Linked DNA regions of Caenorhabditis elegans. The protein of the gene in region 2 interacts with the protein of the main gene of each other region in a pairwise test. Each region holds a gene or a part of one and is shown on either strand. Other genes may lie near its edges. The genes, in order: lim-9, zyx-1 and glh-1.

Evidence for each region.
Region 1: the proteins of zyx-1 (region 2) and lim-9 interact in a two-hybrid assay, tested with the Caenorhabditis elegans proteins (one study listed by BioGRID).
Region 3: the proteins of zyx-1 (region 2) and glh-1 interact in a two-hybrid assay, tested with the Caenorhabditis elegans proteins (one study listed by BioGRID).

What each region holds. Positions count from the first base shown.
Region 1 is NC_003279.8:9,219,061-9,222,814, reverse strand, and holds the start of lim-9 (Protein espinas), read left to right. Parts: upstream 1-2,086; coding exon 2,087-2,157; intron 2,158-3,754. Other genes in the region: aspm-1 (Calponin-homology (CH) domain-containing protein), read left to right, coding at 1-105, 154-227, 372-808.
Region 2 is NC_003280.10:13,055,004-13,058,757, forward strand, and holds the start of zyx-1 (Zyxin), read left to right. Parts: upstream 1-2,148; coding exon 2,149-2,193; intron 2,194-3,754. Other genes in the region: azyx-1 (Alternative N-terminal open reading frame of ZYX-1), read left to right, coding at 1,965-2,005, 2,092-2,193. UniProt on the Caenorhabditis elegans protein: Functions both as a mechanical stabilizer (via LIM domains) of focal adhesions, and as a sensor component for muscle cell damage (via N-terminus).
Region 3 is NC_003279.8:6,852,859-6,856,612, forward strand, and holds the start of glh-1 (ATP-dependent RNA helicase glh-1), read left to right. Parts: upstream 1-1,619; 5' UTR 1,620-1,953; coding exon 1,954-1,993; intron 1,994-2,050; coding exon 2,051-2,485; intron 2,486-2,528; coding exon 2,529-2,603; intron 2,604-2,651; coding exon 2,652-3,754. Other genes in the region: sacy-1 (RNA helicase), read left to right, coding at 1-18, 67-240, 370-488, 551-798, 843-1,039, 1,087-1,206. UniProt on the Caenorhabditis elegans protein: Probable ATP-binding RNA helicase. May act redundantly with the P-granule component glh-4 to regulate the formation of the granular structure of P-granules in embryos. Plays a role in positively regulating the localization of pgl-1 to P-granules.

The DNA.
Region 1 (3,754 bases), on a different chromosome or scaffold from region 2:
AATTAGCAATATTCGCAATCGCATGATCCAATACAATCACATATTGGCGCAAGAAGACGAGCAAATTGGTATAGAAGAAATGGAGGATAAATCAGTCGAGGCAAAGTGAGAACTCTTTTTTTTTTAAATATATTTAAAAAAATTGATTTTCAGGCTAAAGAAATGCGCTCTTCATGGACTCACAAATGATAACCTTCACGTCGTTCATGTTGCTGCAACTGTCATCGGTATGTCGCAAATGAAAATTACGAAGAAGCTGCTTTTTGATCTGAAAGTCATAGAAACCAAAAGTTTATGAATATGCCGCCATGGATGATTTTCTTCGTCAATTGCAAAACCATACAACACATAGAAATGTTCATATTTTGCAGACCGAGTCACCGATCTTGTTCCATCACTTTTGGAAAAGCTTGTCGTCGAACTGAATGGCATCAAGTCGATCACTGATGTTTTGATTGTGGCGGATCGAGGATTCTCTTATACGAGCATTCTTCATCCATTATTGAATGTTCTCGAAAAATTATTCACGAAGATTCCCGAAGAAGTCACCAATTCGCATATTCTCCCTCACTTGAAGATTTTGTCGCCTCGCTTGATGCTACTGATGCTGAAGCACTCGGAAGTCAAGGAATTGTTTATTCCTATCATTAACACCTTGACTTCAATTGCTAGAAGATTCCCAGACAAAAAGCAATCGAGTTTTTCTTCATCAAGCTACTCAATCAAGCAGTCGCTCAAAAAAGTCAAGGATCAGGAGTGTCGGAATAAATTGGTCAGATTGGAAAGCATATGCGAAGATATGCTCTAAATTAGTCTCTGTTAAATATTAAATTCATCCCACCGTTTTGTGTATCATATCGTGAAAAAATACACACGGTTTAATTATTTTTATGTGAATATTTACCAATAAGATCAGTCAACCTGATGCTTATTTGGATTTTTTGGTATTTCATATTTGTTTCTTAAAGTCTGTTGTGAAGTAAAAACTTGATTTTAAATACTACCGTTTTTTTTAGAGTATGATGAATTTAGCTACTTTTAGAAATTCAAGAAGTCTGCTATTTTTCTCTGTTCCCTCTTTAAAATTTTTGAGTTTTGCACTTGTTGCGTAGCAGATGGCTCATCCGATTTGCAAATAGTTACTCGTCTTACTCTCCGTTCGCATTACACAGTAACCCTCCGACCATCTTTTTCTGCTCTTTTTTGTACTTTGTCACGTCATTCGGCTCCTGCTCCGCCTACTCAAAATTTTTATGGTTTTTTTCGAAAGTTTGAGAGAAGTAGTACTCGTTTTTCCGAATTTTTAAAATATTGTTCATTAGTTTTTATTAATTCCAGCTATATGCAGTGCCGGCCAAAAGTTGGTGATTTTTCAACAACAAAAAAAAATCAAAAGTAGCTACTTAAGTAGTAATTTTAAAAAACTTACCAGACAGGATTTTCATTATAACTTTGTCTAGATTTTGCTTTCCTCTGGAAAAAAAGTTGAAGCGGCTGACATCTACAGGAATAGATTTGTATATGTTCTCTTGCAACACATGTTTTTGAATTCTAAAGGCGCGTATGGGTCTCGCCACGTGGGAAACGAGTTTCTGTAACTCATGTCGGTTTACGGGTCACTAAAAGTTGTATCATCATTTTCAAAAATAGAAATTACTGACAAGATTTATTTAGAAAAAATAATTGTGCAATAGCGGCCCGTACATTAATACGAGTTACAGTAACCCGTTGTTCGAATGGCGAGACCATTGCACGTCTACGTAATAACAATTTGGCAGCAATTTAGACAATATTATCAATGTTTTGTCTTTACACAGTTTTTTAATTATTAGTTTTTGAGGTATTGTTTGGTTGAAAAATCACGAGAATAAGTCAAAGACGCATATAATTTGGCCGATATTGTGCTCGCATTTTCCCGATTTTCGTATTCAAGAAAATGGTCAGAAGATCATTTGGAATAGAAGTAGAAAATCTTCAAAATTTTTCTTTTTCTTTTATTTTATTCTATACAAATAGACACTTGAACTAATATAATAAGTACTTAACAGAAGTAGAACTCTTTTCAACTTGGCCCCCTCTCTGTAATATGTCTGACAATGTTGGTCCAAGAGAATTGTCAAATGCATTCAAATATCTTCTTGCCTATCAATTAGATTCGTAAGTTTTTTTTTCACAAAATGGAAAATTGATAGTTATGGATAGATCTCTGAAAAAAAACATCTTAAAATAGTAGATAATACTTTCCACCCAATTTTTTTGAATTCATAAACTTATAAAGGCATATTAGTAGCTTTTGTAAAATGTGTTCGAGAAGTTATTTATTCAATAAAAATGTGTAAAAAACGGTAAACCATTTAGATACCAAAAAAACCAGATCTTGCCATTTTTCTTCTAAAAGACACGACAAAAATTAGGTATTGTCAAGTGTGGGTTACTGTATCTGGATGTTTCTCTCTCTCGGGTATGACCTTTTGTCCAATCATGGAAAGTTCACCAAACTTATTCTGGAGTTATGCATAATTTATTTGTAATATTAAAACTTCAGGAGAGTCATGGTAATAAACTTAAAGTAGAAGAGTTCAAAATTCTCTTCAAAAAAAGTGTTTAGAAACCAGTAAGAACCCTTTCAAACTCTACATTTCTTCCTTCTAAACCCCGCTGTAATCCTTCTGTGATCAATTTTTCAAAATGACTACAAGTGACATAACTGCCAGTTTTAAGGCACACTTTTCTGCAATCTTCCGGAAGAAGATGTTCGAGACTTATTTGTTCTTTCAAATCGACTGGCCAATATCATTTATACAATTTAATGTGGAACGTCGCCTATAAGAAAATTGTTTGAAACCAATTAATTCGTTGCTAAAATGTAAAAAGCTTTGAAAGATATTTTTATTTGCAGTCGAAAAGTGGAAATTTTTTTACCAATAAATTTCCGTCAAAATTTAGCGATTCACCAATACTTTGACAGAAATTTTTGAACGACCTAAAGTTTTTTGAAGCGTTTAATTATTTTTTAAAGTCATGTTGGAGTGTATTTGTAGCACATATCCCGGAGTACTTTTTGGGGTACACAATTTATATTTCTCGATATATAACTATGCAACACAAATAGAGTACCTAATCAATTGAAGATCAATTGATATATATGCCATATTCGGGAAGTGTGTGTGAATCTCTGAGTCTCTCAAATCCAAATGATATTTCTCATTTCATAATATATTTTCTCATTATCTTGTTGTCATTATCCACTATCTTCATAATCCAATCGTCTCTTCCTTCAAAAAGTGAAAATAAACATAAAATTGGCAATTTTCGATATGATCATGAAGTGACCACACCCTGGCTTTCCTTTAATAGTGACACACAATTTGAGAAATTAAATGTTTTTTGAACGAATTTCTCAAATTTCTGTTCTTGTTTTTGAACCCTCGTGATTTTCATTTTATTTATTGATTTTCAATTTCAAAACTAGTCGATTTTTTTATTGCATTGCAAAAATAATTTCTCCAATTAAAAACAAATTACCACTTGCAAATTAAATTATAATTCTGATAGAACATTTTTGGCTTTGAATTAAAAACTAGAAAATATTTTGACACTTTGAAAGTAATATTGCCTATTTCCTTTTTCAATTTCATACCTATTTTGAGAGAGCTTACGATAAGTTTTAGTCGAAAATTGAAAGTTAATTGCAAACAGCAGAAACATGTTTTAATGTTTAGCCATTCACTTTATTGGAAAATGTTTTAAATTA
Region 2 (3,754 bases):
TCCAAACCTTCACCATAACTATGACAGAATTCTTAAGGTTTATTTTTAAAAATTGATTTCTAGTTTTATTTTTAAATTTTTTATAAATATTTTTTCTTTCCATCCTAATTACATTTTTTTTTCTTACCTTTACAGCCATCTACCCCATATTTTCCAAATTTCCAAAACAAAAACACCATAAGCCACCTAAGAATCTAATCCCCTGCGAACTCCTGACAAAGTTCAAAGTTCTATGTGATTCACCTATTACCCTGTTTGCTTGCATAGAATTCCGGTTATTCTAGGCAGAAAGAGGAAGAGTTTCAGGCAGTTAAAATAAGTCGAAAAATACATAGACTCCTCTTTTCAATGTTTGTACACCAACTGTTTTTTGTTTCAATTTTTGTTTCTCACGAATTCCAGCCAAAAGTTTTTTTTCTTAAAATATTTTTTTTCTGTAGAAAAAAAAAAATATTAGGGAATGATCATGATTGCGCCCACGAAACCGCCCATAAAATTCCTGTGAAAAGAGAAGAAGAGAGGGTTGGGCACAACTATACCATCCATAAAACCACAGACTTTTTTTCGCGTCGGTTTTTTTCTTCTTTCCGCTCTTCCAATGTTTTATCGTTGTTTGCATGGCGTTCTGTGCTTCAAAGATGACAGTTTTTTTTGGGGTTGGAAGACTTTTTTGAATACAAAAATTCTTTGAAGTTAAAAACTTCAAAGTTCTCAAAATTTTAATTTTTTAGAATGGTCTAGAATCACATAAATCGAAGTTAATATTGGCTTTAAAATGGGAAAGATCGGCCACAAAACAATTAATTATAAAAAGGATGAAAAGGGGTCTTTTCATTAACTGTAAAAGGCTATTTTAAGATCATCTCTAGCAATAAAGAAAATATATGTTGATGGCCCAGTTTTCCCGTTTTTTTCTAGGCCAAGCCACAAATGACGGACAGTTTTGGGTTAGAAAGATTAAACTTCAATTTTCGTATAAAAAAAGTGCTCCAGAATAAAATTAGGCAAATTTCGGATTTGAAAAAAAAAATTCAAACCGAATGTGATGTCCTAGAACCCGACAAGGCCCACTTGAAAATATGACGTCACAAAAATATTCGTGGCCGAAAAAATAAGAAAACTCGGCTACGCTACAAACATTTTTTTTCTCGAATTGTATGTAGACGACACCTTATAGATTCAATCTGGAAAACTTTTTGAAAAATTTAATTGATGGCCGAGTTATCTGTTTTCTAGGCCACATCACAAATTTGTGCTTGATCTAAATCTGTGCTTTCAAATAGCAATTTAAAAAAAAAATCTGAAATATAAAACGATTAGGTTGAGCCGAAAGTCATGGCCTAGAACCCGAGAAAAATATACGTGGCCGCGAAAATGAGAAAACTCGGCCGCTAACACACATAGGGTAATTTCCTCGAACTCTAAATGATCTATTTAAGATCAAATTGCTAAAATATAAATAATGAGTTTTAGATTTTCTAGGCCACGCTGTGAACTCTAGGTTTTTGTATAATCTCCAACCATAACTTAAATATTGCCGGTCCCTCTCCCCTATAAATTATCAGCCACCAATTTCCTGTCTGCCACGTGGATTTCACACGAAATTTTTGATATCATCTTCCAATAGCAGATGTTGTTGCTTATCTCTTTTCCTCTTTGTTCATCGCTTATCCCTCGTTTTCGCTTTCCTTTTTTTGTAATCTCCCCCCCCCCCCTCCCATATCCTCTCTATTTTTCCTGCCATCAGTCGAATTTTGTGAGCCAAAGTGTAAAATGGGCTCCTGCCGGGATGAAGCGAGAGAGTCGTAAGGATGTGAAGAGACGCCGACGCGGTTCGCCCGGGGTTCCTGTGGCATGCAGCTCCTCGGGGTCCGTCGGAGCCCCCAAGACTCTAAACATACTAAACACCACACCGAGGCGCGCTCTCCAGACATTCTCTATCCATCCAGGTCGCACATCCTAATATGAGTTACCTCTCACCACTTCCTCATTATCCTAGTCAAAGGTATCGTTTTTTTTTCATTTCTTCATGTTTTTGTTGTGTTAAATTGTTTGCTCTGTGTCCTGACCTCCAACATATGTGTCTTTCAGCTTGGGTCGTGCTCGCTCCTTCAGCACTATTCCAGACTCGGCATCCGCTACTGATCTATGGGACCCCCGCCTCCGCCTCCACCACCCCCTCTACTCCCATCCGTAAGTTGAACTGAAATTGCAAAAGAAAATTGGAAAATGTTCTGAAATTTTTTTAGGCCAAAAGTTTGAAAAAAAATCAATGGCGTGGGAGAGAGGTTTAAAAATTATGTATGTTATCCATTACGGTAGCTCGATAAAACCCCCAAAAGCTCAGGGATTGTCAGAATTTCTTATTTCGATTTGATCTTCAAAAAGTGCGGGAGTTGAGACGCAGACATCTCATCTGATTTCGCAGATCTTGCTGACGTCACAATTTTTCTGAAAAAATTCCCGAATTTTTTGTAGATCACAATTTTTCCGAACAAAAAATTCCCGCATTTTTTGTAGATCACAATTTTTCCGAACAAAAAATCCCGCATTTTTTGTAGATCACAATTTTTCCGAACAAAAAATTCCCGCATTTTTTGTAGATCACAATTTTTCCGAACAAAAAATTCCCGCATTTTTGTAGATCAAACTGTAATGAGACATCCTGACATCACGTGGAAATAGACATTTCAAAATTTAAAATCTTGGCTTTTTGGAGGCAGATGGGTTTAATTATCGTTAATTTATTTCTGAACTGCCGGCTCTTAGAGTCGTTCTGAATTCTATTTCACTTCCCACGCTCTAGACAATACCCTTTCTATTAATTCAAAGCACATTTTGCATATGAAGGTAAACGATTTGCATACGGTAATTTATGTGCTCCTTCTAGCACCCCTGGGCATTTAATTATTCTCATTAATCACTTGAAAAACCATAAATTATTGCTAACCATAATCGTAGTGGCAAATTTTTTTTATCCAGCGGAAATGAGGGTTTTTTCGAAAAATAAAGAAAAAAATGACAGAATACATCCCCAATATACCATACATAACAGTAAAAAAAATTATAAAATTTTTGTAAATTTTTTATGATTTTTTTAAAATTTTGCAAAAATAATAAAAAGGGCCGAATGAAATTTAAATTCCCGCGCAACTGAGTGACGTCATTTTCGACATACCGTATATCTTCTATTAATATGGCCTCCCTATTAGACTTGCACTCCCTATTAGTATTGCCCCTCGGAGACCTTCCGAAAATTAGTATTGCACTCCCTATTAGTCTTGCACTCTCTAATAGTCTTGCGTTAACTTTTTTGTATTGCAAACCCGTCTCGCTAATTTCAGGATTTCAACAACATTTTTGCCTATTTTGCAACAGTTTTCACATCATTTCTACGAGATTGAAGTTTTTGAAATTATATGAAAATCAAATTTTCAGAATTTTTACATATGATTCGAGCTTTTTCAGGAAAAAACTAGTAAGCTCAAAGTCAGAAAATGTTCTGAAAATTAGTATTGCACTCCCTAATAGTCTTGCACTCCCTATTAGTATTGCAAGCGGGAAGACCATCGAAAAATAGTATTGCAGCTATATTAATAGAAGAAATACGGTATTTGTGTTTTCCCGCTATATTAGTCTCCATTTTGGCCAATTTCAAAGTTTAATCCAATTTCAGAGTTTTGGCAATTTTCTTTGCAATTATATAGTTTTCTTTACGGAAAAATTTCTGAAAAATTGGAAAATTAAATATGTT
Region 3 (3,754 bases), on a different chromosome or scaffold from region 2:
AAAATTATAAATTTAGAAGTAAGACATAACTTCAAAGATTTCAAAAATTGCTTCAATTTATTACAGGTTTGCCGTTACTTAGTTCTAGATGAAGCTGATCGAATGCTTGATATGGGATTTGAAGATGAAATTAAATCAATTTTCTATTTCTTCAAAGCTCAACGGCAAACTCTCCTTTTCTCGGCTACGATGCCACGAAAGATTCAATTTTTCGCAAAATCAGCACTGGTCAAACCTATTGTAAGTTTTATTTATGCAATCGAGAAGTTTCAAAAATATAATTTTTTAACCTACTCCCAAAAGTTGTCATTCTTCAATTCTTAAAGAATAATTTTTCAGGAGTTTGTCTGTAAATTATAAATATTTTAGGTCGTAAATGTTGGACGTGCGGGTGCTGCTTCATTGAACGTACTCCAGGAGCTTGAGTTTGTTCGATCAGAAAACAAATTGGTTCGTGTACTTGAATGCCTTCAAAAGACTTCTCCCAAGTAAGATTTTATTTATCAGAAAATAATTAATTTAGAAATATGGCAACGGTTTTATATTTCAGAGTTTTGATTTTTGCCGAAAAGAAAGTTGACGTTGACAATATCTACGAGTACTTGCTTGTAAAAGGAGTTGAAGTTGCTTCAATTCACGGAGGAAAAGATCAAAGTGACCGTCATGCTGGAATTGAGGCATTCCGAAAAAATGAGAAAGATGTACTTGTGGCAACAGATGTTGCATCAAAAGGACTCGATTTCCAAGGAATTGAACATGTTATCAATTTTGACATGCCTGAAGATATTGAGAACTATGGTGAATTTCTTATTTATTTTTCATAATTGAATTTTTATTTTCAGTTCATCGAATTGGTCGTACCGGACGTTCCGGACGGAAAGGTCTCGCAACGACATTTATCAACAAAAAATCGGAGATGTCAGTGCTTTCCGACTTGAAACAATTACTCGCAGAAGCAGGGCAGGAACTTCCAGAATTTCTCAAAATGTTGGCTGGTGACGAGGAGGGAACTGCTCCAGCTGGCACAAATGCGGAAAAGGTAGTTAGAAAACATTTAGAAAATCGGGAAGTTCAACATGTTTTCAGGGATGCGCATACTGCTCCGGTCTGGGTCATCGCATCACAGATTGTCCAAAACTCGCTGGAATCGGAAACAAAACGACGCAAGCATTGGCAAGAGGTGGAGGCGACGATGGTGGTTTCTGATTATTTTATTCATACATTGTATCTCAATCTATTTATTTACTGTTTTCTTGTTTACATTTATAAAAATATTTGTCAGAATTGTACTATTTATTTCATGTTTAAAAAAAGTCTGGATTTCCGAGAAAACATGAAAATAATTAATTGATCGAGTTCATTGAAAAAGAAAAATGAATTAAATGCATTCTCAAAATTCTTTTTTTTAAAGGAGACACCACGGTTTCAAGATCTGATGGGAGTCCGGATCTACGTTTTCCGGATCTACCATTTCCGGATCTACGTTTTCCGGATCTACGTTTTCCGGATCTGGCACCGTGCAAACTCTTAAAACGCTATTTTTTCGAAGAAAAAAGTGACAACGACGCTCCGATGTTACGCGTCGCGTGTTGTTAAGCGTTTCTTCTAGAAGAAAATTTCGAAAAAAGTCGTGCGTTGAAAAGCGTTTTGTGCGTTGGCACGGTGCCAGATCCGGAAAACGTAGATCCGGAAAACGTAGATCCGGAAAACGTAGATCCGGAAATGGTAGATCCGGAAAACGTAGATCCGGAATCCCATCAGATCTTGAAACCGTGGTGCCTCTTAAAGAGTCGATTCTTTAAAGGAACACAGACTTTCACACCGTTTAGGTTTCGCCACGCGCCCCAACTACAGTAACCTCGACACACTCATCTACTAAATTTTGGGACAGTTCCTAATTCTTTTTGCTGTTTTCAACTCAATTTTCTGGAAAAATCTTAATTTTCTGCGAAAATGTCTGATGGTTGGAGTGATAGCGAAAGTGCTGCTAAGGGTGAGTTTTATTTTGAACTTTCCACCGGTTTTATTTTGATTAAAAACTTTATTTCAGCCAAAACTGGATTCGGTAGTGGAGGCGGTTTCGGTGGTGGTAACAATGGAGGATCTGGGTTTGGTGGTGGTAAAAATGGAGGTACTGGATTCGGTGGAGGAAACACTGGCGGATCTGGATTCGGTGGAGGAAACACTGGCGGATCTGGATTCGGTGGAGGAAAGACTGGCGGTTCTGGATTTGGAGGTGGAAATACTTGTGGATCCGGCTTCGGTGGAGGCAGTACAGGAGGATCGCCGTATGGAGGAGCCAGTTCTGGATTCGGTGGTAGTACTGCCACATCTGGATTTGGAAGCGGTGAAAAATCAAGTGCATTTGGAGGATCAGGTGGCTTTGGAGGTAGTGCAACTGGATTCGGAAGTGGAGGAGGATCCTTTGGAGGTGGCAACTCTGGTTTTGGGGAAGGAGGACATGGCGGCGGAGAGAGAAACAATAGTTCGTTTTTTAAATTGACTTTATATAATTACGTTTGTTTCAGATTGTTTCAATTGCCAACAGCCAGGACATCGATCGAGTGACTGTCCAGAGCCGAGAAAGGAAAGAGAGCCGAGAGGTTTTATTTTGATATAACTTTATTGGCAGTAATTTGTTTTATTTTCAGTGTGCTACAATTGCCAGCAACCCGGGCACACCTCTCGTGAATGTACAGAAGAACGCAAGCCGCGTGAGGGTCGCACTGGTGGATTCGGGGGCGGAGCTGGATTTGGAAACAATGGAGGAAATGACGGTTTCGGTGGGGACGGTGGTTTTGGTGGAGGCGAAGAACGTGGTCCAATGAAATGTTTCAACTGTAAAGGCGAGGGACATCGCTCTGCTGAATGTCCGGAGCCACCCCGTGGATGTTTCAATTGTGGCGAGCAAGGTCATCGCTCGAATGAGTGCCCCAATCCAGCCAAGCCAAGGGAAGGTGTTGAAGGAGAAGGACCTAAGGCGACATACGTGCCAGTCGAAGACAACATGGAGGACGTTTTCAACATGCAGAAAATTTCGGAAGGCCTTATGTTCAACAAGTTTTTCGATGCCGAAGTTAAACTGACTTCATCCGAGAAGACTGTCGGTATCAAACCTTGCAAGACATTCGCGGAAGCTAATCTCACGGAGACCATGCAGAAAAACGTTGCTCATGCTGGATACTCCAAGACCACTCCAATTCAGCAATATGCTCTTCCACTTGTTCATCAGGGATATGATATCATGGCTTGTGCTCAAACTGGATCAGGAAAAACCGCTGCATTCCTTCTGCCTATCATGACTCGTCTCATTGACGATAATAATCTGAACACTGCCGGAGAAGGCGGTTGCTATCCCCGTTGCATCATCTTGACTCCAACTCGCGAACTCGCTGATCAAATTTACAACGAGGGAAGAAAGTTTGCTTATCAAACAATGATGGAGATCAAACCAGTTTACGGAGGATTGGCTGTCGGTTATAATAAGGGTCAGATCGAAAAGGGAGCCACGATCATTGTCGGAACTGTCGGAAGAATCAAGCACTTCTGTGAAGAGGGTACCATCAAGCTTGACAAATGCCGCTTCTTTGTTCTTGACGAGGCTGATCGTATGATCGATGCTATGGGATTCGGAACTGACATCGAAACTATTGTCAATTATGACAGTATGCCGAGGAAAGAAAATCGCCAGACACTCATGTTCAGTGCCACTTTCCCCGATTCTGTACAGGAAGCAGCTCGCGCTTTTCTCAGA